4 linked regions of the Alligator mississippiensis genome follow. The protein of the gene in region 4 purifies or fractionates together with the protein of the main gene of each other region. This does not show direct contact. Links are inferred from orthologs where the notes say so. Each region holds a gene or a part of one and is shown on either strand. Other genes may lie near its edges.

The links.
Region 1: the proteins of RBM8A (region 4) and NCBP3 purify together in Homo sapiens (co-immunoprecipitation; 3 studies listed by BioGRID and IntAct, with this or other methods). This does not show direct contact. The link is inferred for Alligator mississippiensis from reciprocal best matches to the Homo sapiens genes RBM8A and NCBP3.
Region 2: the proteins of RBM8A (region 4) and PYM1 purify together in Homo sapiens (co-immunoprecipitation; 11 studies listed by BioGRID and IntAct, counting the BioPlex papers as one, with this or other methods). This does not show direct contact. The link is inferred for Alligator mississippiensis from reciprocal best matches to the Homo sapiens genes RBM8A and PYM1.
Region 3: the proteins of RBM8A (region 4) and UPF2 purify together in Homo sapiens (co-immunoprecipitation; 6 studies listed by BioGRID and IntAct, with this or other methods). This does not show direct contact. The link is inferred for Alligator mississippiensis from reciprocal best matches to the Homo sapiens genes RBM8A and UPF2.

Annotation. Positions count from the first base shown.
Region 1 is NC_081837.1:9,611,180-9,618,344, reverse strand, and holds the start of NCBP3 (nuclear cap-binding protein subunit 3), read right to left. Parts: upstream 3,003-7,165; 5' UTR 2,976-3,002; coding exon 2,829-2,975; intron 1,622-2,828; coding exon 1,556-1,621; intron 1-1,555. UniProt on the Homo sapiens protein: Associates with NCBP1/CBP80 to form an alternative cap-binding complex (CBC) which plays a key role in mRNA export. NCBP3 serves as adapter protein linking the capped RNAs (m7GpppG-capped RNA) to NCBP1/CBP80.
Region 2 is NC_081838.1:6,906,812-6,913,546, reverse strand, and holds PYM1 (partner of Y14 and mago), read left to right. Parts: upstream 1-3,931; 5' UTR 3,932-4,127; coding exon 4,128-4,158; intron 4,159-4,687; coding exon 4,688-4,781; intron 4,782-5,394; coding exon 5,395-5,902; 3' UTR 5,903-6,217; downstream 6,218-6,735. UniProt on the Homo sapiens protein: Key regulator of the exon junction complex (EJC), a multiprotein complex that associates immediately upstream of the exon-exon junction on mRNAs and serves as a positional landmark for the intron exon structure of genes and directs post-transcriptional processes in the cytoplasm such as mRNA export, nonsense-mediated mRNA decay (NMD) or translation.
Region 3 is NC_081827.1:13,570,543-13,577,793, forward strand, and holds the start of UPF2 (regulator of nonsense transcripts 2), read right to left. Parts: upstream 3,012-7,251; 5' UTR 2,857-3,011; intron 1-2,856. Other genes in the region: DHTKD1 (2-oxoadipate dehydrogenase complex component E1), read left to right, coding at 3,241-3,394, 5,046-5,201, 6,120-6,331. UniProt on the Homo sapiens protein: Involved in nonsense-mediated decay (NMD) of mRNAs containing premature stop codons by associating with the nuclear exon junction complex (EJC).
Region 4 is NC_081838.1:17,854,065-17,861,408, reverse strand, and holds the start of RBM8A (RNA-binding protein 8A), read right to left. Parts: upstream 3,005-7,344; 5' UTR 2,938-3,004; coding exon 2,871-2,937; intron 2,629-2,870; coding exon 2,569-2,628; intron 1,967-2,568; coding exon 1,889-1,966; intron 1,139-1,888; coding exon 1,002-1,138; intron 297-1,001; coding exon 160-296; intron 1-159.

The sequences.
Region 1 (7,165 bases), on a different chromosome or scaffold from region 4:
TAAGAATCATGATGCTTTGTCTGCCACTCACTCTGCAACTCTGCAAGTTTTTAAGCTCTATGATAACCATGTTTATCTATCAGCAAAATAGGTACACAAAGCCAAAGTTCATGAAGCCCTCTCTTAAAGCAAAGGTTTCTTCCATCTGGCTACGCTAAACTTCTATTTTAAGATTACTGGTTTGCTTTCATGGAAAAACAGAAACAAGTGAGATGATACAGATCACACAGAGCTCTCAGGCAATTGAAAAAAAATTGGCAACATATGGCTTTTGGGAATATTTTTTATGTTAGCACTTCTCCAATACTAACTGGAGAGCCAACAATAGAAATCTTGTTCTGGCTGGTAATCCAAGCTATTTCTGGGGAGCTCATTAGCATAGTATCTAAGCAGCAGGGATACAAAAGATCTTATACAATCTCTTAAGAGAAACATTAGTTTTCTTTCTTGGGACCGATTCAAATTAATAGGATATTAACAGGACATTTTAAGCAGCTTTCAATGGCATGAACTAAAATACAACTCAGTACGTTAGCAAATGCTTAAGCAAGAATTGCCCTGATTGATATAATTTCAGGATAGATTTGCCTTGAAAATCTCTGAAAACTGATTAAAAAGTCAAACTTTTCTCATTATACAGAATCACCTCTCTTTCCCCACAGTTATTAATGTTGCATATCATTAAGGAATATAACAAAGTAGGAAGATTTTTTTCCTTGATAATTTAACATTAAATGTCTAAATGAACTGCAAGCATCCAACGCAAAGAAGGTAGTGACTAGGAACTAGAAAAGTTTTTCAATCCTAAACACGAACTTCTGGGTTTTCCCACTGCAACACGAGACTATAACTCACGCATCAGCACTGCTGTTGCAGGGGTTCAAATTTTGCAGTGCTCTGAAGATATAAAGGCTTAAATGGTACTGGAGCACTACACAGATAAAAGGTGAAATGATGCATCATATGGAAGTGCCAGTGCTTTAAAATTATGTCACATAGCCAGGAGACCAGCTGCAAGTTTAAGCTGTAAATGGTCCACAAAATAATGCCCTTAGACAGCGCCAGCCAATGGAGCCCAGTATTCCTGCCAAACATTTGCTTTCCCTTGTCACTTGCACAATAAGAAAAATTCAGCTGACTTGATTCAAAGGGCATTGCGATGTGGAGTGGCACCACCGCAATTCCAATAAGAGTCTCCTTGTTTTTTGGCAAATGCAGAGAGCTTTTAGAAACAGTATTAGACATTCTTGGTGGAGTACAAAAGCTTTGCCCACAGCTAAATCTTTCACTATACAACCATAAAAAAAAGATGCCTGACTCAGGGTTTCCACAAAAAGCTTGTCTACTTTCTAGATTCTGTAAATTACAAATGCTGGAGTATAAAAGAGTCATTACAGCATGTGAAAAAGCTCTAGAATCTTATTGTCTTATCTCTGGCTGTTAAAAAGGGACTACGGGCCCCTGAAAGCCACCACCTTAGGAAGCATAGGAAAATGCTTCCTATTCAATTAAGTAATACAAAATTTTAAAAAGGGATCACACTTGACAATATTACCTTGGAGGTGACGTCTATTCCTGTAATGAAACTTCCAGCTTTGTTTTCGTATCTTCTGCTAGTGTCCTACAATAAAGCAAAATTACAACAAATGCTGGATGACGGCTAAACGCAGCAAGCTTGCTAAACTAATAAGATCTGACCTAGTAGTCAGCTCTGAAAGAAAAAACACATCCCTTTTTATTCTCCTGACTCCAAGCTAGTGCGGCATCAACCCACACAGGCACAATTCTCACCAGGGTCAATGGAGTTACAAGCAAACAGAACGGATCAAAAATCATTACACTTTTTTGCAAAGATTCACTCTATTTTAGCATCTTAGATATTTACTTTTAAAATATCTGCATTCACAAGGGTGGAATTCACTCTGCTACAGCAAGGAAGTGGAAGTGATTATGAAACATCTTTTCCGTCTCTAATTTCCATGATTTTTTTCCGCGGCATCTCAAGTACGGTTTCCACCCAATTCCAACCGCTCAAACGGGCTTCATGTAATCCGATTACATTAAAAAGGATACGTTTTCAGTACTTAGTTATCAAAGGGGAAAAAAAGTCATCACAAAGTCAACTTTTGCACTAAAACTAGCATTCATTCTCTTGCCACCGCTGCTTGAACCATGTTCCCCAAAACCTCAGCGTCAGTCACCGCCCCGCTTCTCTTCTGAACAAGCCTATTATGACCAAAGAAACCCATAAATGACACGGTGACCTGGAGGGGAAAAATAAAAAGGACTTTCATTCCTATCGGTTAGTAAAGCAGCATTCACAAAGCGCTGCGCTAACCCAGGGGTGGCAAGCCCTAGGGCATGCGGGCCACGAGGGACAAGGGCCGACCAGGGAGGGAGCAGGGAAGCCAGTGACAGGCAGGGCAGGGAGCAGAGCGCAGAGCCACAGATCAGGCAGCAAGCCCAGGGCAGGGAGCAGAGTGCAGATCAACAGGTAGGGCAGGAAGCAGAGTGCAGAGCAGCGGATCGGGCAGAGAACCCAGGGCAGGGAGCAGAGCAGCTGATTGGGCAGGAAGCCCAGGACAGGAAGCAGACAGCAGAGCAGCGGATCGGGCAGAGAGCAGAGCAGCTGATTGGGCGGGAAGCCCAGGGCAGGGAGCAGAGCGCAGAGCAGCTGATTGGGCAGGGGAAGGGGGTCAGTGACGCAGTGCCTCCCCCCGAGCACCGGCGACCCCGCCCCCCGGTCTCGAGGCGCGGACGAGTCCGCGGTGCCCCGGGAGGGGAGCGCAGCGCAGGCCGGAGCCCCCCGCCCCCCCCGCGGCCCGTACCGGGAGCAGCTCCCGCAGCGAGCGCCGCACGGGGATGGCCTCCAGCTCCCCCTCCTCCACCTCCATGGGCTCGGGCTCCGCGCCGCGCGCCTCCGCCTCCGCCTCCGCCGCCTTCACCGAGATCCGCAGGCCCCGCACGGCCGCCATCGCCCCGCCAGGCCCGCCCTCCGCTCACGGCCAGCGAGGCGCGCCGGCTAGAGCGTCGTCGCCGCCGGCCTCCAGGCACGCCGAGACGGGATTGGCGGACAGAGCGTCCCCCCGCCCCGCCACGAGCATAGAGGCGCGCGCTGTGGGGACAGAGCGTCCCCAGCGTCATAGAGGTCGGGGGATAGAGCGCCTCTGTAGGTCCTCCCGCCTGTGGTGCTCCCTGCGGCGGAGTGCAGGCGGCGCCTCGTTCCCGCCGCTCGGGCCCGTGTCTGCCCCCTCGCACTGACACGACTCAGGGCAGCGAGTCCAGGCTGCGCTCTAGTGTGGGGCGCCAACGCCTCGTTTCTTGGTGCTGCCCATTCCTCGCCGGCACCGAAGGCCGGAGCGGTTGAACCGAAGCACCTGCCGTTTCGAAGCCGAGTCCCGATTCTCGAACGACGATAAATCTCCGAATGTGCTCATCCCTTCCCCCCCCCGTGCGGTTGCGTGCGATGTGTCTTGCTGCATAGCTGGACTTTCCCCAACCTGCGCTAAAACTTCGGGAACTGAACCGAAGCCACGTGAAATCGATAAAACGACTCTCCTTGACTTCGACGGGCGTTCGATCGGGCCCCCGTCCAGACCCAAACCTGCTGAGCTCCCGCGTAGGAGACGCAGGTGCTTGAACACGCTCGAGGCCCCCCCAGTTTGTGCCTTGCACTCACGACCGTGCCGGGGAGCTCGACCTCGCACTCGCGACCATGCTGGGGAGCTCAACCTCGCACTCGCGACCATGCTGGGGGGCTCAACCTCGCACTCATGACCGTTCCGGGGAGCTCGATCTCGCACACACAACCATGCCAGGGAGTTCGACCTCGCACTCGCAACCGTGCTGGGGAGCTCAACTTCGCACTCGCGACCGTGCTGGGGGGCTCAACCTCGCACTCATGACCGTGCCGGGGAGCTCGATCTCTCACACACGACCATGCCAGGGAGTTCGACCTCGCACTCGCAGCCGTGCTGGGGAGCTCAACTTCGCACTCGCGACCATGCTGGGGGGCTCAACCTCGCACTCACGACCGTGCCGGGGAGCTCAATCTCAAACTCACGACCATGCCAGGGAGTTCGACCTTGCACTCACAACCGTGCTGGGGAGCTCAACCTCTCACTCGCAACCATGCTGGGGAGCTCGACCTTGCGTTCACAACCGTGCCGGGGAGCTCGATCTCGCACACACAACCATGCCAGGGAGTTCGACCTTGCACTCACAACCATGCTGGGGAGCTCAACCTCGCACTTGCAACTGTACTGGGGAGCTCGACCTCGCACTCACGACCATGCTGGGGAGCTCGACCTTGCACTCACGACCGTGCTGGGAAGCTCAACCTCACACTTGCAACCGTGCTGGGGAGATTGACCTCATACTCACGACCATGCTGGGGAGCTCGACCTCACACTCATGACCGTGCTGGGAAGCTCAACCTCGCACTTGCAACTGTGCTGGGGAGCTCGACCTCGCACTCACGACTGTGCTGGGGAGCTTGACCTCGCACTCATGACCATGCTGGGAAGCTCAGCCTCTCACTCACGACCGTGCTGGGGAGCTCAACCTTGCACTCGCAACCGTGCTGGGGAGCTCAGCGCTACGTGCTGCTGATTCAATGGTTCGGTCGTGCAGCTGCCGCCGAGATCGAATCGTGTTTTGCTCATGGCCTCAAGACCAGAAGGGTAGGAAAGCTGAGATCTTATTTTCCCTCCTCCTCCGTGAACTTTCACGCGCGTAACATTTCTGTTTCTTCTGACGCCCTGGAGATTTGTTTCTTCGGAAGCCCTTGCTCTTGCTCGTGTTGTGCGTTTTCATGCTTTCCGTGAGAGAGACCCACCGTGTCGGCCGACTGGCATGCGTGGAGTCTTTACAATTTATCCTGTGTGCATCGGGTTTGCAAACACGGCGTTCGTGCTTGCGTGTGGACTCCAGGCAGATTCTGCGTATGTGGTATCAGTACTGAATAAGTGACTGTAGGCCTTTGGAAAGGGAGGCTGCAATTTGTTTTTGTGTAAAGACTCCTGAGAAAGAACAGTTAAAAATATGAAGTCCAGAGCCGCTGGTAGCAAGATAGTTTATTTGACCACAGGAGAGCAGGAAGAAGTTTCTCATGGAGCTCATCAGCTCCATGATCTTCTGGCCTGAAAAGTGGCAGGGGTTCTTTATACCAGGGGCCTGTCTCTCCCTTTTCTGACTGTATTCCTGCTCTGTACATGGTCCGTTATCTCCCTCCGGGGAATTGTTACGCTCACTTCTGTTGTGTACTTGTTGGATGAGAGTCGCTGCTGAGCTCTGAATCACTGCTGTTTTGAGTTTTGATTCAGTTGTTCTTTGGCTTTTGCTTTAAATGAAAGGACCCCTATTTACATAATGGAAAGCTGCTGCATTCCCTGAGCTGGTTACAAGGCAGCGGCGTGACGGCATGCTGCTCCAGCCTGCAGAGTGAATAGAAATAAGCCACATGTTTCTGAACCGTGCCGAAACCTTGGGATCTTTTGCAAACCTCCTACCAGCCCGGGTCTAAACTGTTCCAAATTCACCAGGGTTTTGCAGCCGGGGTTTGGTTTGGATTTAGGGCACCTTTACCAGGAGTAGGCTAAGTCACACCTCTCTCCAACAACTGCCAGATACTTACTAGTATGTCACGTGTGTGTTCATTTGCTGGGGCGTGTTTAAGTGAATTGTTAGTGCATGAAACCTTGCTAAATGGCACTGAGTGGCTTCCCAGAATCTGGGATGTATTTGGTAGCCGTATTGGTGTGAGACAACCGAGTTGATCTAATAAAACTTATCCTTTCTGAACCAAGAGTTTTGCATTCCCAGACTCTGAACATTTTAACGAGGACTAAATTGAAAAAAAATTCTCCCATCTCTGTGTTTGTTACCTTTAAGGGTTTTGTTAAAGGGGAAACTAATAAAAACAACAACTGCTGCAAACCCAAAACTTGTCCTAAGAGGCTTTGACTTGTCTCCCTGCTTTTCTGTGTGCTCATGTGAGGAAGTGCTGGTGCTATAGTTTTTCACCAGAGGGAGCTCTTGCAATAAAATGTCTTTGCTACAGAATGAAAAGTAAAGTGTAATCTAAATGCCCAAAGCCTCAGGTATAGTGTCTGGATTAAGCTAAAAGCAGGGGGCAAAGGGAGCCATGGGGTAACAAAAGGAGTTTGAATGCACTTGATGGAAGGAGTCTTTTGGTAATGATCTGAATTGAGTTTCAGAGGTGAACAGTTTGGCTCTTGTGGCACAGAACATAAAGCTCCCGTGACTCCGTGACCAGAACAGGGACGTGTTAGTCACTGCAAGGCTGCTTTGTCGTCCTGCCTGGTCCTGATGACTCAGTGCAGGACCCTGGCATGGCTGCCCTTCAAATGCAGTGAATTGCACCAAGAATGAGCGCGGCTGCCGCTCAGACAGGCGTTTCTGCACTGGGAGGACAAACCAAAATGAAGTGGGCTGAAGGGTTTGGGAGCAGATATGGATCAGCTGCTACCTGGGCTGTACTCGTCCCACCCAAAGTAAGGCAACCTCTCTCAAAACTGAAAGAATGGCCGGCTCTCAGGAGGAAGGATGGTCTAGTGGGTAGGGACTTAGGCCACAAGAGAAGGCCCCGCTCTGTGACAGACTACTCATACCCACGCTACTCGGTACACCTGAGACAGTGAGCCTCAGCAGTGCAAGCTCATGGGTGGCTCTGTTTCCTCTTGGGAGTCGGTGCTGCGGCATGGGAGTGAGGACATGTGGCGTGGGTCACAGCAGTGCTCCTGGGTATGGCATTGGAGTAATATCCAAATGCCCTTGACCTCTCCACGTCTCATTTTCCACTGTGAAATGGGGATAAGAGCACTCCCCTACCTTCCATGGACGTTGTGATGGCGAGTATATTAAAGATTCAGCAATAGGGCAGCAGAAGTGCCTACAAGAGGTAGATGGATTTTTGGTTGTAGCCATGTTGGTCTAAGGACATAGGCAGGCAAGGTCCTTTGGGTAGATGTGATATCTTTTATTAGACCAGCTGAACAGCTGGGAAAAAAAGTTAGATTTACCTGTGACATGGCAAGAATTTGCATGTCAGCCTGTCCACGCAAACTTAACTTTCCAAGTTCGAGAGATGGAGACAGAAAGAGAGAGCTGAGGGAGAAATTAGATTAGACTGGCTACTCACTAC
Region 2 (6,735 bases), about 11 Mb from region 4:
AGGTGTTCAATGTGGGCGCTTGAACCACCTCCGGTGGCAGGCTGTTCCAGACCTTGGGGGCTCGGACAGTAAAGAAATTCTTCCTTATGTCCAGCCGGAAACGGTCTTGTAGTAGTTTATGACCATTCGACCTAGTCGTCATCCCTTGGGGCGCTCTGGTGAACAAACGTTCCCCCAGATACTGGTGGTCACCCCTGATAAACTTATAGGTGGCCATCAGATCACCCCTGAGCCTGCGCTTTTCCAGGCTAAAGAGCCCCAGGGCTCTCAGCCTGTCATCGTAGGATCTGCTTGTATGGTGTGAGCATGTGTGTGCCACACCTGGATTAGTGTACGTGCCACGCCTGGATCAGCGTGTGCATGCCCATGTGAGTGTGCATTCTCCGGCACTGCCTGCTGGCACACCTCGGCGGCTCAGAGCCAGGCTGGCGCAGCTGGGCCCCCGCACAGGCCCCGGCAGGCCAGGGCGGCTCCGCACGCGGGCGGCAAGACAGCAGAGCTGGAGGCAGCGAACGCCATGGGCCCTGTGGCGCCTCCTTCCCTCCTGCCCCCATGTGGCCCCCATGGCAGGAGGGGCAGTTGTGAGAAGGGGTGGGGGCTCAGGCCCTGCTGGCACCTGGACTGAGACCTGCCAGGTTTGTGCCACCCAAGGGCCAGGCTGTGACCTGTGTCCCCAGCACCAGGGCCACGGCATAGGTCTCTCTCTCCCAGGCCCAGGTGGTGGCAGGGAGGCCACACCGGGTCCCGGAGGCCGAGGTACCCCCGCCCATGGCAGGGCCCGGGGGCGGCCTTGGCGCCCGGAATTTCCCTGGCTGCAGCTGCGCGGGGCTGCGTGGGCGAGAGGTGCGAGCGCCGCCTCGTCTCATCTCCGCAGCAGCTACGAACGACGCGCCGCAGCCCCAGCCCCAGCCCCAGCCGCAGCCCCTCCCAGAGGCAGGCAGGGACCGGCCCAGGCCTCCTCTGGCAAGGGTGGCGGGGGAGGGGCTGCCCGCCTCCCTCCCCTCCCCGCCGGGCATACTGCCCCTGGAGGTGCCCGCGGAGCCGGAAGCCACAGAGCAACAAAGGCTGCTGCAGAGCCCGGGCCCCAGCTCCCGGGGCACCAGGCACTGTGTGGGCGTCTGCCGCGGGGCTGCACAGCTCTGCGTGTGTGCATGCTAGTGTGTGTGTGCAGGTATGTGTGAGCGCGTGCCTGTGCATGTGAGCGTGTGCACCTGTGTATATGTGACTGTATGTGTGCATGTACATGTCAGCATGTGTTGGTGTGTGGGCATGTGCATGTACGGGTGTTGTGCATGTGTGTACATGTAAGTGCATGTGTGCGAGTTCATGTGAGCTTGTGCATGTGAGTGTGTGCATATGTTTGTACATGTCAGTGTAGTGTGTGTGCATGTACGAACGTGCGTGGAAGTATACACACATGTACATGCATGTGTACCTGTGAGTGTATGTGTGCACATGTTTGCACATGTGGACATGCACAAGTGCATGCATCTGTACATGTGCGCATGTATATATATGTATGCATGCATGCAAGTGTGCATGTTCATGTATGCATACACGTGTAAGAGCGTGCACGTGTACATGTCCCACCTGCTCAGCTCCCAGCTCTCAGCTCCCAGTCCAGCCTGGCTGCCCAGCACCGGGGTGAATCAGCGCCACCGCGGGGCAAGGCGCCAGCACAGACTGGCAGTGCCGTTCCATGGATGCCAGCCCAGGGCAGGGTGGGGGGGCCCAAGGAGATGGGGCAGGAAAGTCAATGGGGACTGGGAGCACTGTGCTCATGGAGGGGGCACTGCATCCTTGGAGAAGAGGGGGTTGGGGCCCCTGCCTGGTTTGGCAGCCCACTCCTTGCACACGTGTGCATGTGCACAAACATGCATGCCCATGCATGGACCACGGAGAGCCAAGGGACAACTCGGACCCTTCCACTCCAGGAGACCCTCCCTGTGCTCCTGGTGGTACAGGGGCCATGATACAGGGCAGCCCCGCGTCTACCAGGCAAAGAACCCAGGAATCCTGCGTGCCAGCCGGGGGTCCAGGCTCCTCGAGGAGCTGGGGGGAGCAGCCCAGAGGCTTGGCTCTGCCCCTTCTGCTGTAGCCAGAGTAGCACCCCCGAGTCTGGACCCTAGCCTGGGCTGCAAGGCCCAACACAGCAGTCATGAGACAGAGCATGTGCCGGCCTTGTCTGGCTGGGCATCCAGGAGGTTGGCACCTTCCCCAGCGCCAGCCACAGACACAGACCCGTAGCCTGTTTCCCTCCCAAGTGGCCACTTTCTCTTTGCCTGCTTCCAGACTAACCACGGCCCTTTAGCGTTGACCGCAGGGCTGAGCCTTCCCCTGGCACACGGCACTTCCCCTGGTGCTGACGTGGCCAAAGGAGGCTGCAACCTCTGTGAAGCTGGTGCCTGTTCCCAGAGCTGCGCTTGTACATGGGGCTGGACCCTGTCCTGGCCTGGCGCTGTCCTTGGTGCAAACTAGAGCAGCCCTGGGGGGACTCTGGCTGCCTGGGGCTGCAGCAGGGACCTGCCACTGCCCAGGGCACTCTGCTCCCCGCTGACCAGGGGGGCTGCCCTGCCCCCCCCCCGAACCCTTGTATGACACGGATCCGCCCCAGGGCATCTGCAGGAGGGCAGGGAGGGCACTTGACCTCCCTGGGGACACAGGCTTTCCCCATGCGGCACCTCCCTGGCCACAACGGCTTCCCCCCGGCATCTCTCGCCCACATCAGCGGTCGCAGCTCCGGGGTTCCCTGCCCGCCGGGCACTTGCCTGGTAAACCTCAAGTCTCAGTTGATAAGGATCAGCTGCCGCAGCTCCACTGCACTGGAGGGGTGATGGGGGCCACACGACCGCCCTGGCTGCTCTGGGAGCGCTCGGCGTCTGGGCAGCTTGTCAGGGCCTGCTAAATGCCGGGCGCCGGTAAGGCCAGGCAGGCTGGCCTCCGCGAGAGCAGCACAGCTCGATAGCTCTGTGCCAGGGCAGGGGAAACAGCCTTTTCCTCCAGCGCCCGGCTCTACTCAGCGCTTCCTGCCCAGCTGCCGCAGGGCTGCGCCTGCCCGCAGGGAGCAGGAGCGCAGCATCCGCCTGCACTTGCAGTCACGGCAGCTGGGAGGCTGCTGGGCCTCGCCAGGGTCACGCTCCGGGGCAGGGGCCATGGCCTTGGCCCCAGGGTCAAGACCTGCCTTGCCTGGTGAGGCAGGCAGAAGCCCCCGGCCTGGCCTCAAGGGCTGCCCAGGCCACGCGCGGAGCCGCTTGATTGCCATGCCCGGGCAATTATTTTGGGCAGAGGGCTGCCTACTGAGTTTTGGCAAGCCATCGACAGGCAGCCCAGGGCAGATAAATATTAATTTTCTAAACTTTTTAGGGGCCCTGTGGGCTGGATAGAATAACCCGGCGGGCCACATCCAGCCTCCAGGCCACATTTTGCCCACCCCTGCCCTAGGGTCTCCCCATGGCAGCTAGGGGCCTGTGGGGTCAAGGGTCAGGGGTCCCCAGCTGGCAGGGGCAGGCAGTGGGAGGCCACCGGCGACCCCTGACCCCCAGGCCCTGGGGACCCGCTCTAAGGGGTCCCCATGGCAGCCCGGGGGCTCCCCAGGGAGTCCTGCTCCAGGTGGGGGGTCAAGGGCCAGAGGTTGCTGGCTGGCAGGGGCAGAGTTTGGGAAGCAGCCATTGACCCCCGACCCCCACCTGGGGCAGGACTCCCTGGGGAGCCCCCGGGCTGCCATGGGGACCTCTTAGAGCGGGTCCCCAGGGCCTGAGGGTCAGGGGTCGCCGGTGGCCTCCCACTGCCTGCCCCTGCCAGCCGGGGACCCCTGACCCTTGACCCTCCCCACCTGGGCTTTCTGGGGGTGGGGGCATGGTTGCCACGGAGACCCACAAGGCTATGTAGGGGGGCTGGTGTTTCGGGGGGGGGTTAGCTTAGGCCCTAGTGCATTCTGGGAACCCCTCTGGAGGCTCGCGGAGGCCCCGCCCCGCAGTGCCCGAGCGCGGGGAGCCCCCGAACACGCCCCTGGCCCTTTAAAAACAAAATGGCCACCCACTTCCCAGCCTATCTCCCCCCTTCGCCCCACCCACTTCTGCCGCTTCCGGGGCGGGGCCGCGCGGCCGGAAGTGGGTCGCGTTTCCAAGATGGCGACTCCCTATGTGACGGACGAGACCGGTGAGTGCGCGAGGCGCGGCCCCCCCACAGGTCCCGCCCGCCTCCCGGGCCGCACGGCACTCCCAGCTGCACTGCCCGCCTGGCCCCGCCCCCGGGCGCGGTGGGCCCCGCCCCTTCGCCTGGCCCCGCCCCCGCGCTGTGCGAGCCCCGCCCCCAGCCAAGCCCTCGCCCCCCCGGCCTCCAGTGGGTGGTATTGGCCCCCCCCCCCCCCCAGCCTGCCCCCCCGACCCGTGCTCCCCATCCCAGCCTGGCCCTCCTTTGACCTTTGTGGGCCTCCCCCAACTTGCCCCTGTGACTCCCTTGTCTTGGCTCCCTGTGATGTGTGACCCCCCCCAGCTCCCGGTCGTCACCCTGTGACCCCCCCCTCCCCTCAACCCTTGCAGGGAAGCAGAACTGTGATCTGGGGCTGGGGGGGGACACTGGCTAGAGGGAGTTGCCCAGGCTGGGGGGGGTGGGGGGGCTGCAGGGCTCCCATGAGCTGCTTTGGGGCTGGGCCCCCCCCCCCAGTAACACGTGTCCCGACGCGCAGGGAAGTACATCGCGTCCACGCAGCGCCCGGATGGCACCTGGCGGAAGCAGCGGCGGGTGAAGGAGGGCTACGTGCCGCAGGAGGAGGTGCCCGTGTAAGTAGAGCCCGGCTCTGCTCCCCGCACCTGGCACATCTCTCGCGGGCCCTGATTGTGGTTGAGCCCAGTTCCAAACAGGCGTCGGGTTTGTCTGCGCAAGCTCCACCGGCTTCGGCCCGTAGGCAAGGCCCCAGGTGTCGTCCTCCCTGGCCTGTGCCCGTGTCGGCGCCAGCACCCAGGGCTGGAGCTCTGTTTCATGGGGGCTCGGCTGTGCGGAGCCACCCGCGGGGGCTGCCTGTGCCCGCATCCCCCAAAGGGCTCAGGTCCTGGGGCCGGTGCTTGGCACTGCCCCTTCTGCGGGGCCGGCCAGGCAGGAGGGTTATTCCCAGAGCCATTCCCAATAGCTTGCTTGGCCTTGGTGGGGGGCTGGTGGGGACTCGGTGTGGAGCGGGGGTGCTCTGAGTGGTGTTGACGTGCAGAGCTGATTTGCTGCAGGTGCAGCTCCTGCTTCAGGCTGGAATTGGCTGGTGTTTAGTTGTCACCGCCAGCCGCTGCCCACCACGAGCCTGTGGGCACTGAGAGCCACCCTCCGGCAGACACAGCCCTAGTCAAGCTGGGGCCACGCAGCAGCGGAGGGAAGCAGAGCATTGATGGGTTTTATTCTGCACAGGTACGAGAACAAGTATGTGAAATTCTTCAAGAGCAAACCCGAGCTGCCTCCCGGGCTGAGCCCCGAGGCCAACGCGCAGCCCGGGCGGCCGGCGCCACGGGCCGAGAGCGGCGAGGTTGGGCTCTCTAAGACGGCCAAGAGGAACCTGAAGCGCAAGGAGAAGAGGAAGCAGCAGCAGGAGAAAGGGGAGAAGGACACAGATGAACTGATCCAGGTGCTGGAGAAGACCACACTCTCGGGGGGTGGTGCTGGGGACCGGGGCCTACCTGCCCCACCACAGCCGCTGGCCTGCGGTGCCAAGGCCCCCGGGGACGGGGAGGCCTTAGCCGCCGTGGCGGAGAAGACGAAGAAGATCAAAAACCTGCGGAAGAAGCTGCGGCAGGTGGAGGAGCTGCAGCAGCGTGTGGACTCTGGGGAGATCAAGCAGCCAAGCCGGGAGCAGCTGGAGAAGCTGGCACGGCGGAAAGCGCTGGAGGAGGAGCTCGAGGACTTGGAGCTGGACTTGTAGGGCCACAGGGCCCAGCCCGGCCTGGTGGCGTGGGGGCAGGCTCCCCTGGCGGGTGCGGGTGCAAGGGCCTGGCGCGGCTCTCTTGGGTGCTGTCTGATTTTTAAGAACAATTCTCCTGCCTCTCTCTGCGCTAGAGCTGGCCCCTCTCTGACTTCTCCGTCCTCGGTTATTGTATTGGGGGCCGGGGGGCGGAGCCTGACCCTGCCCCCCACCCTTCCACCCCTCCAATGTCTTGTGTTCTTGTTGCTCCGCGCCCGCCGCCTCCTTTCATTTTTAAAACTGATGCAATAATAAAATTGCAGTAGTGACGCGGCAGCTGGGCCAGTGCCGGTGTCCTTGCCTTGCTCCGTGGGGGCGGCTCTGGGTCCTGGCCGAGTCCCAAGCTCCTGACCTCCCACCTGAACACTGGATCTGGCCCCCATGAGGCAAGTGTTGCCCCTTCAGCCCCCACTCCACAACCCCAAAGTCTTCCGGCCCAGCCAGAACTGCAGCTGTCCCTCGGAGCTGGCCTGGCCGCAGGGTTTCTCCTGTAGCCATGGGGGTTGTGACACCCGCCAGCTTCAGTATTACTGCCTGAGTCTCAGGGACTTGATGCTGTCCCCTCCAAGAGCCTGGGCTGGCAGCAGCAGTGCCCCTTTGTCCCCGGATGCCCCCAAGGGGAAGTCTCCAGGACACGGAGTGGCTCTGCCAGCTGGTTCCAGCAGGTGGCGCTGTTAAGCTGGGAGGGGGAGGAGGTGAGACTGGCCCCTGGGGTCTGGCTGCCTGAGGCAGGGCTACCTCTCCCCAGCTGATGTGGAGGCAGGGGCTTGGCTTTCGGACCCTCCTTACTCCAT
Region 3 (7,251 bases), on a different chromosome or scaffold from region 4:
AAACCCCACACCATATACTAAAACTCAAACATCTACCATAACACATTTTAATTTTATTTTGAAAAATATTTTTGTCCTGACTTGCACATGTTTGCATCGTGTGTATAGAGGTGATTGTAATAACTCAAGATAAATTCCCAGTCTATGTGCCATTGGGCCGGGCAGGCTCTGTGCTCCCAGATCTGGCCCGTGGGCCATATCTTGCCTGCCCCTGGACTTAAGGCTTCTGCTGGTTGATGGCTGGGAGCCAAGAGGAACTTTTTTCCCTATGAACACGTTACTAGCTTCTACTAGTTTATTTGTCTTCCTCTGAAGCACTGCACCTGGGCCACTGCAAAGGGTGAGGATCTGGCTAGGGTGATCTGGTGCTCCAGAAACTAGGAGTATTTATAAGCCTTTAAGTGTCTATTTGATGTGCCTGGATCATGCATGAGTCAAATATTGCCAGATTTGGGGGCAGGCAGCAATTTTCTCCCAGGTCAGATTGGCCAGGACCACTGTGGTTCTCCTGCCCTTGTCTGTGGCGCAGGCCTTGAACCTTTTGAGAGGATCATCTGAGCATCTTTTTACCCAACTAATTTTCTGCCAATGCAGTATCAGGGTGGTTCCTTTGTCTCTCCTGCTCTTTACTTGGGTCTGTTGTTACTTTTTATTTCATAGGGTTCTTGTGGTGTGTAAGAAGGGCAGAAGTGTCCATTTTTGATAAATGGTTGCCTGCAAACACAGGGACTGGTCTCTGCTCTAGAAAGTCCTTGCAGTCCTTTGTTTCAATGCAGGTGCTGTATGTATTGTGATCAAGTCATAACTTTCCCTTTCAGAAACTGCATAAATCAAGCTCTTTTTTAGTTTCTCACCAGAAAGTATATTTAATCATCTAATCATCCTTGTGGGTCTCCTCTGAATAGTCTCCAATTTTTCAATGCCCTTCTTGAAGTGTAAACACAAGATCTGGTCTCAGGAGACGCCACCAAGAGACACCCCCACTGCCAAATACAGAGCTACTGTAACCTTCCCCTCCTATTCTATATTCTCGTGTACACACAAAATGCATAGCCTTTTTATCAAAAACATACTACAAAGGGTTCTTGTTCAGCTGATTATCTATTGTAACACCCAAGTCCTTTTCAGAGCCACTGCTTCTTAGGATAAAGCTAGGATCTTCCCACTTTTCTGACTTGAGCTCTCTGTTCCTAGGTGCCTGATCTGACATTTGACTCTGTTAATATTGTTTGCTTGCATCCAGCATGGCAAGAGATCCAGATCCAGGGTGACCTGTCCTTTTCATTCTTTACCACTCACTTCAACTTTATTAGTAATTATTTTATGTTTCCTTCCCAGTTAGTGATAAAATATTAGTTAGCCAAAATCTCATCTGTGCAAGCCTTCATCAGGAATACACCCACCTGATGATTTAATTTTATTTTTGAGAATAACTAGTTAGCCATTTTTAATCAATGTAATATGCGCCACATTGATTTTGTAGTGCTCTGGTTTCTTAAAGAAAAATGTCATGCGTTACCAAGTCAAATGCCCTACAAAACTTTAAGGGCTTCTCTGTACTTAAAGAGCTTCCGCCTCTACAGCTGTGCCAGCATAGCTCTGTCTGCAGAGCCACCTTGAGGACACAGAGGTTTTCTGCTAACATATCTATACCTTCTTCCTGTGTACATAAAATAAGCCAAGCCAAGATAAGCACTCTTTTGTAGGCATAGTTACATCTGTATCAAGGGTTTTACTGACTTAGTTTTATCAATTAGGAGATGTAACTTTTAGTTTCGTGCAACATTTCTGTGCCAGGAAAACCTTGTCGTATGGAACTGGCCTGAGTACATGTAAAGTTCATTAAACAAACTTGTAATCTCATAAAAATAGAAAATGCATTTTACAAAATCAGAGAGAAAACTTTGCCTTGTTTTTCTATTTCTTTTCCCTGTAAGTCAGGCATGTTTTAATGAGCATAGCATTCTTTCTGGATTGTAACTACTGGACATCTAGTTCTTCATTTTAAACGATCGGTCAAGTTTTTCTGTTCAAATTCTTGTTCATGGCTCATCTAGTTCAAAATTGTTTTCAAATGGGTGATATTTGCCTTTTTGAAGCACCAAGTATATACCTTGCTGGTTGGGTATTTATTATGATTATGCATAATAAATGGAATAAAGCAATGATCGCTTGCACCTAAATAGCCATTAACTGTGAATTCTCTGACCACTTCCATTCATCTGTGCAGACGCGTGTCAAAATAGAATTGTTCATGTTGGATGAAACATTCTTAATTAAGAAAATGGCATCTATCATTTGGCATCTATCATTTTTAAACATTTCAAGTACATTTTAGAAGTCATCACTGAGACTAGGAGTTGTTTAAATAATCCATTTCCACTTAAAGTGGATACCAAAAACACCTGGAAATTAATAGGAAGAAGAGAAAGCAGCAAAGTACCTGCTCAAAAAGCGGAGGGAGACAACAGATAATCAATCACCTAGCGTTCTCGCCGCAAATACAGCGGACAAATCTCTCAGCAGCTATACCGCTATCAGAGTAGGGGCGAACACAAGCAAGGCAGCATCGAGGACAAATTATCCGAATTTTACAGATGGAGAAATATAAAGGGGACGTGCGATGTGCCAGAAACCCAGGAGCATCGCCTCCTGGCCCCAAATTACCATCAGTTTTAGATGCAACAATTGGATTGTCTTGGCTTACTTCATCCCGGCACCACTATTCAGCCCAGTAGAAAGGATACGGTCCTCAAGACATCATCCCGCCCAGCGCGCGCACCAAGGGGGAAGAAGCCAAAGCCGAGGAAAGCTCGGATGCTACAAAACAGACCTTTTGTTGTTACTTCACCTCACCTGAGGGCTAACCTATAGTTCTGGGCTACGTTTCCCACAGCTGACTAACCAGGTACGTTTTCTCCTCATCTTGGCCTGTCGGGGTGATGATACATTTCAGGTGGTTTCCATATAAACCAGCAGTTGACTGAGCCTAGCAAGGCCCCACCTCACGCCCAAACCCTTGCAACCTGGTCCTCAAATCACTGTTTATTTGGCCCAGCGCAGGGAGGGGGCGACACCCCACGTCTCCTCGCCCGCCCGCCCGCCCGCCGTCTCCCCCAGCAGGGGGCGGGGCCGCCCCGCTCGGCCCCGCCCCCGAGCGGGCGGTCCAATCCGAGCTGGGGGCGTTGTCCGGCCCCGCCCTCTGGCGGCGTGGAGCGGAGCGGAGCGGAGCGCAGCGCGATGGCCCTGGCGGCGGCGGGTCGGGCCGGGCCGTGGCGCGCGGCGCTGGGGGCCCCGGGGCGCTGCTACCGCACCGAGCGCGGCGTCTACGGCTACCGCCCGCGCCGCCCCGACAGCGCCCGCGCCGCCCGCCCAGATAGGGCGACAGGGGCCGGTCCGTCTGTCTGGGGGGGTCTGCCTGTCTGTCTGTCTGGGGGGGGTCTGGGTCTGTGTGTCTGCCGGGGTGGGGGGGTCAGTGCGTCCCGGCTGCCTTGGTGATGGGGGTCTGGGTGCGCAGCATGGCTGGTGACATCAGGGTTCAAAGTCCAAAGCCCCGGAGTGGCTGGTGGGTGATGGCCGGGGCCAGCTGGGCTGAGCCCTGACCTCCACGCGGAGCCGGGGTGCCTGGCACCTGTTGCCCCGGGGAAGGGATAAGGTGGCTGAGCTCAGCAACGTTTTTGGGCAGAGTGCCTAAAACACCTGCAGCTTGGACTTGTAGGACGCTGGCGTGCCCGGGGCAGAAGGCGGGGGGCTGTGAGAGGCTCTGCTGCAGCTGGACCGGTGGCAGGGACAGACATCAGACTGATATGCGCTGGGCACCAGACGGGGTTGCCAGGCCCCACTGCAAGCACAGCTGCTCCGGCGGGGGTTATTTGACCCCAGCAGTCTTTCCTGCCCAGAGCAGGATGAGCTCACAAGGTCCCTTCTAGCTCTAAACTTCTGTGAATCTGTGATGATTTGCTGCCAGAAGAGCACAGGCCCCTGAGGTTTCCTCTGCCCCTGGTGCTTGGGACTTCAAAACAAAGCAAAACCCTAAGCAGCGTCTTGGAGACGCGTGGGCTGGCTGCAGCTTGGGTCCCCCTTGGTGGTGATCCCGGAGCTAAGTGCTGGGGTGATGTAGTCATGCAACACGTGCGGAGTGAGAGGGATTGTGCAAGTGAGGTGATTAACTCCTCACCCTGGGTGGTTCATCTATGTCTACCCTTCACAGCCCCCAGCCAGTCACATTTGCGTAGGGCTGGAGAGACATGGCCCAGAGGGTACAGGCATATCTCTGTCCCCAGATGGAGAATGCAAGCAGATGACTATGTCCACTTGTGGCAGCGCAGCCCTGGCTCCTTCCCCACTCTCTGCCCTGAGGTGCACGTGCTAAGCAAAATGCCTTTGCATGCCACACTCTGGTGCCCGTGCCAGGGGTTGCCTACCCCTGCTCTAGAAGGTGCTTCTGTGGGGACTGGTGTTAGGAAACATGCAGCCGTATGGTCCCGGCCTCAGAAAGTTTACAGGGGACGACAGAGGGATGCAGGCAGCCGCTGGGAGCAGTGAGGTGGTACTGCTCAGCATGATGGGCAGGGGTCACTGCGCATCAGGGGTCTCATGTTGAGTTTCTTGTGCTCATCATAGCTGGAGAGATTTGAAATAAGGGAACAAGGTGGCTTTTCAGATATTTAATGGGAGTCCCCCTTTGGTGTACTATGTGATAAAGCATGGAAATCTATTGAGTTGGGCATGCGAGGTGAGCACAGTGAGGCGGGTGGAGGCGGGAGTCACCTTCTCCATATTCAATGGGAGAGGATAGATGGGGTGAAGACAGGTTGTGAAGCACCTTGAAAGCGAAGACAAGCCATAAGTGTGTGTCTATGGGGAAGAAGTGGAGGGGGTGAATGAAGAATAGTGATATGGGTTAAAGAGCTGAGCTCAGGAAGTGATCTTGGCATTTTGGATGCATGTCAGTGGGGGAAGATGCAGCATCGTCTCAAGGGTGAATGAGTGAAGAGTGTACGTGCTAACAGCGTTCTCTGTTTTTTTCCCTTTTGTACCTTTAGTTGACCACGGTCTTGCCCGTTTAGTAGGGGCGTACCATGAGCACGGCCACAAAGCCGCCAAAATTAACCCTTTGTTTGCTGGTCAAGCGGTGTTGGATATGGTACCTGAAATTCGAATGCTGTTGGAAGTTCTTCAAGGGCCTTTCAACATCACAGGTAAGTCTGTACCACAGAGCACGTCTCCCCAGCATAATGCAGTGTCCCAAGTTAGGTCGGGTATCTTCATGGGGCACAGCATTGTGTGGGTAGACAGGTTCCAGTGCCCAGCTCACTTGAGTTATGTTTGAAATCTGTCAAATAAAACCATTGAATTTTCTCTTCTCTGCTGCTAAATGAGCATGAGGTAATATAGCAATCTCACCACAACAGACTGATTACGTGCTCTGTCCTGAATGGCATAGCCATGTGTTAGGTAGCTGTTCAGTGATGTAATGCCAAATGAAAAATAATTTCTCTTGACTGATTTTACACTATTTACATTCTTTTATTCTGTCTATGACATCTGCAAACTTAGGTTATCATGTTTCCTGAAATCACGTAAGTATTCCCTGTAACTGTTCAGATAGCTACCCAGGTTACTTAATGATAGTACAGTATTACAGCAGTGACTGCGGTACTGGAGTGGAAGTCATGAGATCTGACTTCTATTCCTAGCTCTGTCCACTAACTTAACATGGTCTTGAGCAACTCCCAGAACTTCTGCATGTCTTGTCTGTCCATCTGGGAAATTAGCATTGCACAATACAAATGAATGTCAAAGGACCTTGATCATCTCTGAGCTTCACAATGCTCGGTACAGTACAAACACAAGATGCCAAAACCCAGACCCTGCCCTGGAAGAGTTTGGAGTAATATTTCAAACACTGCAAAGGAGAATGAAAAGTACCATCTAAGTCCCAAGTATTAGGAATGGTAATTCTGAAGTTTCTTGAGACCTTGGGCTTCAAATGAAGAACAGAGGGGCAGAAAGTGAAACTGTGCTTTCAAACTGTAGTTCCTAGTTAGCAGTGTCCTTAGACTGCTAGCCATTAGAGTGGCTAATCCCTATGGGCCTTCCAATCTCTTTTTGACCAGGACTTCTGAACATGGGGAAGGAAGAAGTGTCCCTAGAGGATGTGCTGGCTTACCTTGATCACGTATACTGCGGGCACATTTCTATAGAGACGAGCCAGCTGCCAAGCCCAGAGGAGAGACACTGGTTTGCTAAAAGGTTTGAGGAGCTAAAACAAGAAGCATTTACAACCGAAGAGAAAAAGCATTTGTCCAAGTTGATGTTGGAGTCCCAGGTACGCTGCATGTCTTTATGGCATTGGTACATAGCGATCTAGCCATGGACTAGAATGTCCATTGTCCAAACACCAGATCAAAAGGGGAAAAAGAAGCCTTTGGTCCAAAAAAGGTTATGATCTACATGCATTTATTTCTGATTGCCAAGATACGGGTTTTGTCTGAAGGTTGTAGCACAGAAATGAAATAATTCTAACTGGAGACAATTGCAGAAGGCACAAGAACAGGGATTCCTCAAAGAAACCGCAAGGCTCTGCAGCTACGAGTTGAGTGTTTCAGAAAGTGTTTTTTAGCAGGGGAAAATATTTCGGGGCAGTGACAAACCAAAGGGGTCTCTTCAACCAGAAGAGGGAATGGCATAGCACAGCATATTTTAAAAAAGAAACCCAGCATGCAGTGCTTTTAGGCGACGTTCTGCAAAACATTTGACATTCTAGGAAAGCCAGTAGGGCAACTTGTGAATATTCTGAAAAAAGAGGAAATACTCCAAAGTTGCTGGCCCGATGTTTTTGTATTAGACGTGGAGGCTGCAGAAACAACTGGGCATTGCCCTCAAAGGAACTTAAGACGTATGTGATGCTGTTGCACTGCTCTGTATTTCCTTCTCAGCTTCTGCTTCTGTTTTCAGTCATTCTCTGACTCCTTGTCACCTTCTAGTCCTAGTCCCTTTCAATAGGGATCAGTTTGGGAAGGAAGGAAACCTGCCTTTGTTTAGAGGGGCGAATGGGAGTGAGATCAGGGTTCTGGCAGTGTTGTCCCGAGGAGCTGCCTACACACCTAGTGCTGGCAGAGCATTTGGCAAAGTCATTCTTGCCTCGTTCCCTGTGTAGGGCAGTGAAACGCTCCCTGACTGAGTGTGTGGGCTGGCTGTACTACGGGACACCAGCCAAATATTTTTCATATTGTAAATTTTTGTGGG
Region 4 (7,344 bases):
GGACACAGACGAACTGTGCCCGGACTCAGGTCCAAGCGAGAGAGGCAGAGACCTGATCTATCCCATTGAGTGTGTGCTCCCTGCTCCAGAGACAATCCTGGACCCATTTGGCTCCTGCTGGGCAACTTGATCCCCTGCCAGGATGTGGCCCCTTCTCACCTTCTCTTCCCTTTGGGTGGTCCCCGAACAAAGCACCAGTCCACGCTAATGGGCTGCCCCATCAGCTCCTGCCCGTTCAGCCCTTCCATGGCCGCCTGAGCCTCCTTGTAGGTCTCATACTCAACAAGTGTGTATCCCTGCAGGAGGCAAGGACAGTGGCATCAGCACCCAGTCACCCTCACTCCACGCTCACCTTGGCTCCCAGCAGTAGACCCCTGGGCTTCCAATTCCCACAACCCCTCTCCACTTGTTCACCAGTGTCAGGAATACAAGCCTGAAAGGCAAGGCTGCTGCCCTGCCCTGCCCTTCCAGCTATTGCCCTGAACTGAACTGCTCACTTGAACCAGGAGCTTCCCAGAGAGGTGGGGGACAGGGATCCATATTAGTACCCAACCCCTCTTCAAGGCTCTTTCTTAGTATGAAGCCTCCCTAGCACTTCTCTGTGATATGATCCCATCTGGGATTCAGCTGTGAAACCATAGGGATCTCACAGGGATCCCATGAAAGAAGCCAGGAGTCCCTTGCTGTTACCAGCAGCACCCACCGCACCTCAGGCTGAGATCAGAACCCCGGCATCCCTGTGCTCACACACAGTCTCCTCACCCTGCCCAGATCATTTGTATGAAACATTAAGGGGCAGCTGCCCGTTTAAGTGCAGCTTTGGCCTCCGTGTCCGAGGAAGCTGTGCACCTCAAAGGCCCACCGCCCCCACATCATACAGGCAAGAACCTGAAGCACAGAGATTAAACTATGTGGCACAGATACAGAGTCTGTGGCAGGGCAAAGACGTGACCACACCTGTCTAGAGACCCCAGCCAGCCCTCTCCCTACCAGCCCCCTACCTTCAGGTAGCCCGTCCGCCTGTCCAGGTTCAAGTGGATGTTCTTGATCTCGCCATACTCAGCAAATTTGTCGTGAATGTCCTCTTCTGTGGCTTCCTCGTGGACTCCCGTGACGAAGAGAATCCAGCCCTCCACCGCTGCGGGCAAAGGGAAGCAGCGCTCATTACCCAGATGCCTGGTCTGAGAGCCCTAGTGAACTTGCACGTGCACAGCTTCACAGCCACACCAAGGAAGGACATCCCTACTCCCACCACATCTCAGCCTGGGTAGCTTGTAATCTCCTATTGGCCTGAAGACTCTGGAGTGGAGCTATGGGAGGAGGAATGGAGGGGTAGTGAATGCAGGTGCTCGATGCCCCTGGCAACAGCAGTTCTTCATTTACTCCTTAATGAGGATGGCTGCAGAGCAGCAGGAAAAGTTTCTGCCCCCCAGACCCCTGCAATGAACCTGAATCCTAACCTAGAACAATCCCAACACCCCACGAGCACAGACAAGTTGCTCTGTGTGTGGTTGTATCAATGGTGACAGCAGCGATACCTGGCTCTCAGAGAATGCTTCTTATCTTTCACAACTTTACAAGGGAGGAAGCTGAGACACTAGGGTCACAGAACCAGCCAGTGGCAGCACTGCGAATAAAACCCACATCTCAGATTCACAGAAGTTCAGCGCTGAAAGGGACCTTGTGAGATCATCAGGTCTAGCCCCCCTGCTCTGGGCAGAAAAGACTGCTGGGGTAAAATAACCCCAGCAGTCCCTTGGTCCCTATCCAGCATTTTACCCACCGGACCCCACTTCAATGAAAGACTTGGCTCCGCCCTTCCTTAAAGCAACCTCGTGTGACACTTCACCCACCAAAGACCCCAGAACAAATCCCCAGCTGTACTCACATCTCTGAGGCCCCGGCTCGTCCCCGTCCTGCTCCACGCTGTCATAGTCCTCACGCACTCGGGCCCTGGAGCCTTCCTCTGGGCACAGGGGGAGAAAAGCAAAACGTGGATCATTTCAGACAACTAGTGACGGTTTCCTGCGCGACCACCCCACCACCAGACACCCGAGCTTGTAGACACCGGTTTTCAGACACCCTACCCCAAAGAGCCTGTAACAGTAGTGATGCAGACAAACATGTATTCATAGGATCATAGAAAATAAGGGCGGGAAGAGACCTCAGGAGATCACATCTAGTCCAACCCTGAGGTCATCTGATCCCAGCGGTCTTCGCTGCCCACGTGCAGGGGGGCTGGACCCGATCTGTAAGGTCCCTTCCAGCCCCTAACGACCGGGAAACCCCCTGCTCCAAGCAGGACCAAGGGCCGCGGGGCAGACAACCGAGTACCCTGCGCACGTTTGCTGCAGGTAGGGAAGGGTCTGGACAGCCGGACGCGGGAGACAGAGGGATCTGCTCACAGCTGAAAGGCCCCAGGCATCGCAACACCCCCGGCCCCTCCCCCGCTCTGCCCTGCCAGCAACAAGCGGACACCAGTCTGGAGGCTGCACTGGAGGCTCTGGGAGCACTGGGATCCCCGCGCGCAGACGGACAGAGCCGCGGGGGTTGCAGCCACGTCCTTACCTGAGCCGAAGCCTCTGCCTTTGCGCTTCTTGGCCTTCTCCTTCAGCTTGTGGATGCTTTCTGCGGGCAAGACCGGGCGGTCAGCGCGGGGGCCGGAGAGAACCAAACCGAGCCCCGCGGGCAGGAGACCGGGCGGGGCGGGGCGGGGCGGGGCCAGAACCGGCGGGAAAAGGCTTGAAGCGGGACCCAGAACCGGGACTAGGCCAGCCCCAGGCCGGGGGGCGGGGGAGGCCCGATGGGACCCGGAACCGGGGGGGACCGGCCAGAGGGGGGGGGGGGACATCCGGGTCACCCCGCGGTACCGTCACCATCCTCGTCCATGGCGAAGTCCTCGCCGCCCGCCTCGTGCAGATCCAACACGTCCGCCATCTTGCCGCGCTCCGCCGCCACCGCTGCCGACCAGAAGTTGCCCCGGTGCTGCAAGGCATGCCGGGAAGCAGGGCGGAAGTGTCCTCACCCTATGGACAGGAAACCCCTGCTAGGGGCCTCCATCTTGAGAAGGGAATGAGGCAGGGGAGAAGCGTGATGACGCAACGACGCTGCTAGGTGGCGAGCGCCGCCATTTGGAGAAGGGCGTCAGGCTGGCGGCGGGCGCCATCTTGGGGTCTCCATAGCAACCACTCAGGGCCCAGTTTAGGCCTTTTTGTCTCCCTTAGTGGTGGGTTCCCCTCCCTGCCTGAGACAGCCCAGCCACAGGCACGGCAGGGTGCCAGGCTCTGGCTGCACCCCTCAGGACCTGGCCTGCACCCTCCAATGGGGGGGATTAGCCCCTATTAGACAACAAGCTGCCCCCCCTACTGGGGTTGGCCCTAAACATGAGGCTCCTTTAAGAAAGCACCACCTCAGGGGAGCCCCTTGGTGCCCCCAGAGTCCCCTGAGCAAAGGGAGCCCAGCGTTCTAGTGGTGCCCCAAGGCGGCGAGTCTCAGCCGGGCTGGGGGCGCCACATCACCGTTCGCACAGTTAGGCGCGTCCTAGGACACAGCTGGAGATCTCCAATAGGAGGCCTGGGTCTGTCCCCCAATCTTGGATTCACTTGAGGGTTTCTCTGTAGTTGAAAAAACAAGTGAAAGCAGAGACGGCACTTTCTGAGGGGGCTTGGCGTCTAACGAGGGGAGAGGAGAGGATAAGCGCTGGTGAGCCGCCCGGTTCCCCAATGCCCCCGCGGGAGGCAGACGTGACAGTCAGTGCAGACAATTGTGCAAGACGGGACTCAGCCCTGTGACTTTTCCACCGTCGCAGCACAGAGATCTCACTCCTTTCCCCCCAAAGGTGGCAGGAGATCTCTGCGGCCTCTCCAAGCGATGTTTCGTGAAACCAGGCGGGTTCGGCAGGTCTGCATCTCAGCTGGCAGAGACGATGGTTGCAAAGCTCGCTCCTCGCACAACGCTGAGCGAGTGCAATGGGCGTAGCGAGGTGCCCGGACGAGAACAGGTGCCAGGTGGAGAAGCACTGGTCTAAGGGAAGGAAGATGAATCAAGTAATCCAGGCTCCAGGAGCCGGGGCTTGGGGATGGACAAAAACCCACATTGAGGAGGGCAGCACGAAGTTGCCACCCCCTCCCGACACCCAGAAAACAGCACGGTTGGACCGGGATCGAAGAGAGGATCCTTAACATAACTCCGGCAGCTTCTCCCCGTCCAGCGAGGAGGGTTGGCAGTCGTGGTGCTATCAAGGAAAGCTTCCCTTGAACAGGCTGGTCCTGGATGATCCCCCTACACAAGCAGTCTTCCTGGACAGGGATCACCACTACTTGTCGGATCGTAGAAAATGGGGGTTAGACCTCAGGAGGTCACATCTAATCCAACCTCCTGCTCCAAGCAGCTCCATCCCCAGCTAGATCAAGTAGGAAGGTTGTTCCTTCCTCCTTGCCTACCGGTTTCGTTGTAGGGGCACCTGTTTAGTGAGACCCCACAAACCCATTTCACCTGAGCCAGCCAACACTCATCCAAAGACAACATCCTCACCCCTATTTGCTGGGGGTAGAAATCGCCATCTATACTATGGCATCCAGTATGTTACTTTAGCCTTAGTCAGAATGGGTTGGGTTTTTTTTAAGCTCTTTTCCAAATGGAGAAGCATGGAGATCTCGTCGTAGCTATAAAATATGCGGGGGGAACTGCCAAGCGGCAATAATTTCTCAAGGAGCTTATGGATGCCAAGTGGTTTTGGACAGCAACTGCTTTGCGTGCGCAAGATGCTGTGTTTGCTAGTGAAACAGCCCAGTGCCATTCCCCCCCCACTTCAAGATTTTAAAAGAAGTCATGCTAGGTGGAAGAACAAAACTTTATGTTCCTTCTCATTTTATTTTTTGAAAAGGGTGGAAACTGTGTCTCTCACTTGGAGCAGCTCTTCATGTTCTTCTAGTCAGCAGGCAGGCACGTGAAATAGGCATTTCGTCCTGCCCACCCCCGAAAAAGAAGAAAAAAAAGAATGACACCATTTTATTCTGTATAGCGTCTTCTGCACATGTCCTTCCCGCAGGCCTTGGAGCGAAGGAGTTACAGCTAGAGTGTGAAACATGAGGCAAAGTGCAGAGCAGGTATGACCTGAAAAGAAAACAGCTTACACCCCCCCCACCCCCCAATCTGGCTCTTCATAATGCCTTCCAGCCCCCTTTATAAGCAGATGCTGCTACAGCTGTACTCAGTCACCGGTACCCATGAGCACAGCCATCTCCTTTTCCACCACTGCATCCTTATTCCTTCCAAGTCAGGCCAGAATTTCACTCTTCCCCTCTCAGGAGTCTCTGCTGGTTTCCCAAATTCAAGGCAGCAGAATCTCTCACGAGTGCTCTGCTTCTGCCTCAGTTGACAAGATTATTCCTTTATTTCTGTGCCTCAGCTTCCCCACCTTTCCTACAATCTGGGAGATGGTCCGATGGGAGCTACCAGTGCAGGAGCAAGCGTGAACAGCAGGACCAAACTGTTATTTTCAGCTAGCTCCGTGCTCAGCTGAAGAGGATTATAACGGGCTTCCGCTAATGGGAAATTTGGTTCTACAAACATCCGGCCGGTGCAGCTGTTCCTGTTCTTGTCCATTCAAACTGTGTACAGTACGCGACGTCTTCATCTCCCCTTCCGCAACGAAGAGGGAAGAGACCTATTTCTTTCCTTAAAGACCTGCCAGTCAGCATGCTACAAAGCAACTGTTGCCTTCCCCACCTCCAAGAGCTGGTAGCTCCGCTTTTCATAACAGTTTAAGGAGAGACAGCACATTCACCCAAAGGCAATACTGTTATTAGCCTTCCCATGCTGAAAAGCCTTTTAAAAGGAGTATTGGGAGGAACAGTGCAAGATCTGATCCTCACCCTTGCCTCCCCCCCACATTAGTTAAGGCAGCAAGGCAGAATTTGTGCAACATCAGCAGGGCTATGCTGCAAAAGATGGGTCAATAAATCCTGTCTGATATAACCAGATGCTGGGACCAGCAGGGACTAATTTGCAGGCAACTGTGGTAATTCTTAGGGAGAGAAGGGGTGGAGGGAGGCATTGTTCTCAGGTTTGTGATGCATCAAACAGCTAGTTCCCCCAGGAGAGGCCATAAACAGCAGCAGAGAAGCAGCTTAGGGCTGAGTGAGGGTAGCACCACATGGGCAGGTGTTTTCTCCATCAGCACAGGTGGTTTCTCCATTTCAGTTCCCTTTTCAGGTACAGGAAGGCTCCTGCAGGGGTTAGCAAAGAAAAGGCATGCCATCAGCACAGACAGGTTCAGTTCAGGCCAGCCTGCCTAAACCCCGGAGTAACAGACCAGAAACTAAGCAGCTTTTCATACCCGCCATGGCACACCTATATTTCAAGCAGGGAGGTGCCAATTTTGACACCAGCTATCCAGGGGTTTTTGTGAAAGCAACAGACACTCGTACGTTTTGTTACGAGGGATAGCAGCACATCAGAGCCAACAGCACACTGAACAGATCATCAGTCCTGCATCTCTCATTAGGAAAGGAAGAAAAAAGACAAACTACCCAAAAAATCTAGTGTTTTATTGTATAAAAATTATACATACAAAATGCACGTGTTGTACTGAACTTGGACATACAATGGAAGATGTGGTGGCAGTGCGTGAAAGGCAATTTATCTTGCTCTGGTTTTTGATTCAGACTCTATGCTGGGAAAATTGGAAGGGACTTTGGATGCCGAGAGCTAGGCTATTAACAGCACTGGAGCCGTGGGGATCTCCTGGCTGCTGATCCATCCCTTGAGACTCATGAGGTTCCAAGATCTGTTTTAATTAAAACAAGAGGAACAAAGTGTCAGATGCTCATTTATAATGAAGCTGAACTGGTCCTACCCAGGGAATCGTATTTTTGCAAGGAGAAAAAGGGCATGTAGTGTGGTCTGATATCTTCCCCCAGCTGGGAGTGCTGGCACAGGCAGATGCTAAGAGTCTGCCTGATTCAAGCCCTTGCTAAACAAAGACTGAACTAGCATTTGAGTCTCAGAAGAGGGAGTCACAGGCTGTTGAGGAGGCTCTATTTAAAGCCTACTCACACAACTGCCATGAGAGTTCAGTAGCCCATACAAAACTAATGATATCTTACTTGCCCGAGGAAGAGTCACTGCACAGAGGAGAATGCACATGCATTGCTCCATAAACAAGCTACTGTTTGTTGCATTTTTATATGCTGCTTCTACCACAGAGCTGTCTCATTAACGCAACTTGGCCTTTGAGCACAGAAAACTGACTGTTCGAGTGTATTTATTTCAAAAGATGGCCTGACTTCATTTTCACATGGCACCAGGAAGTGGTTACTACTCAGAATATAATCCTGTGCA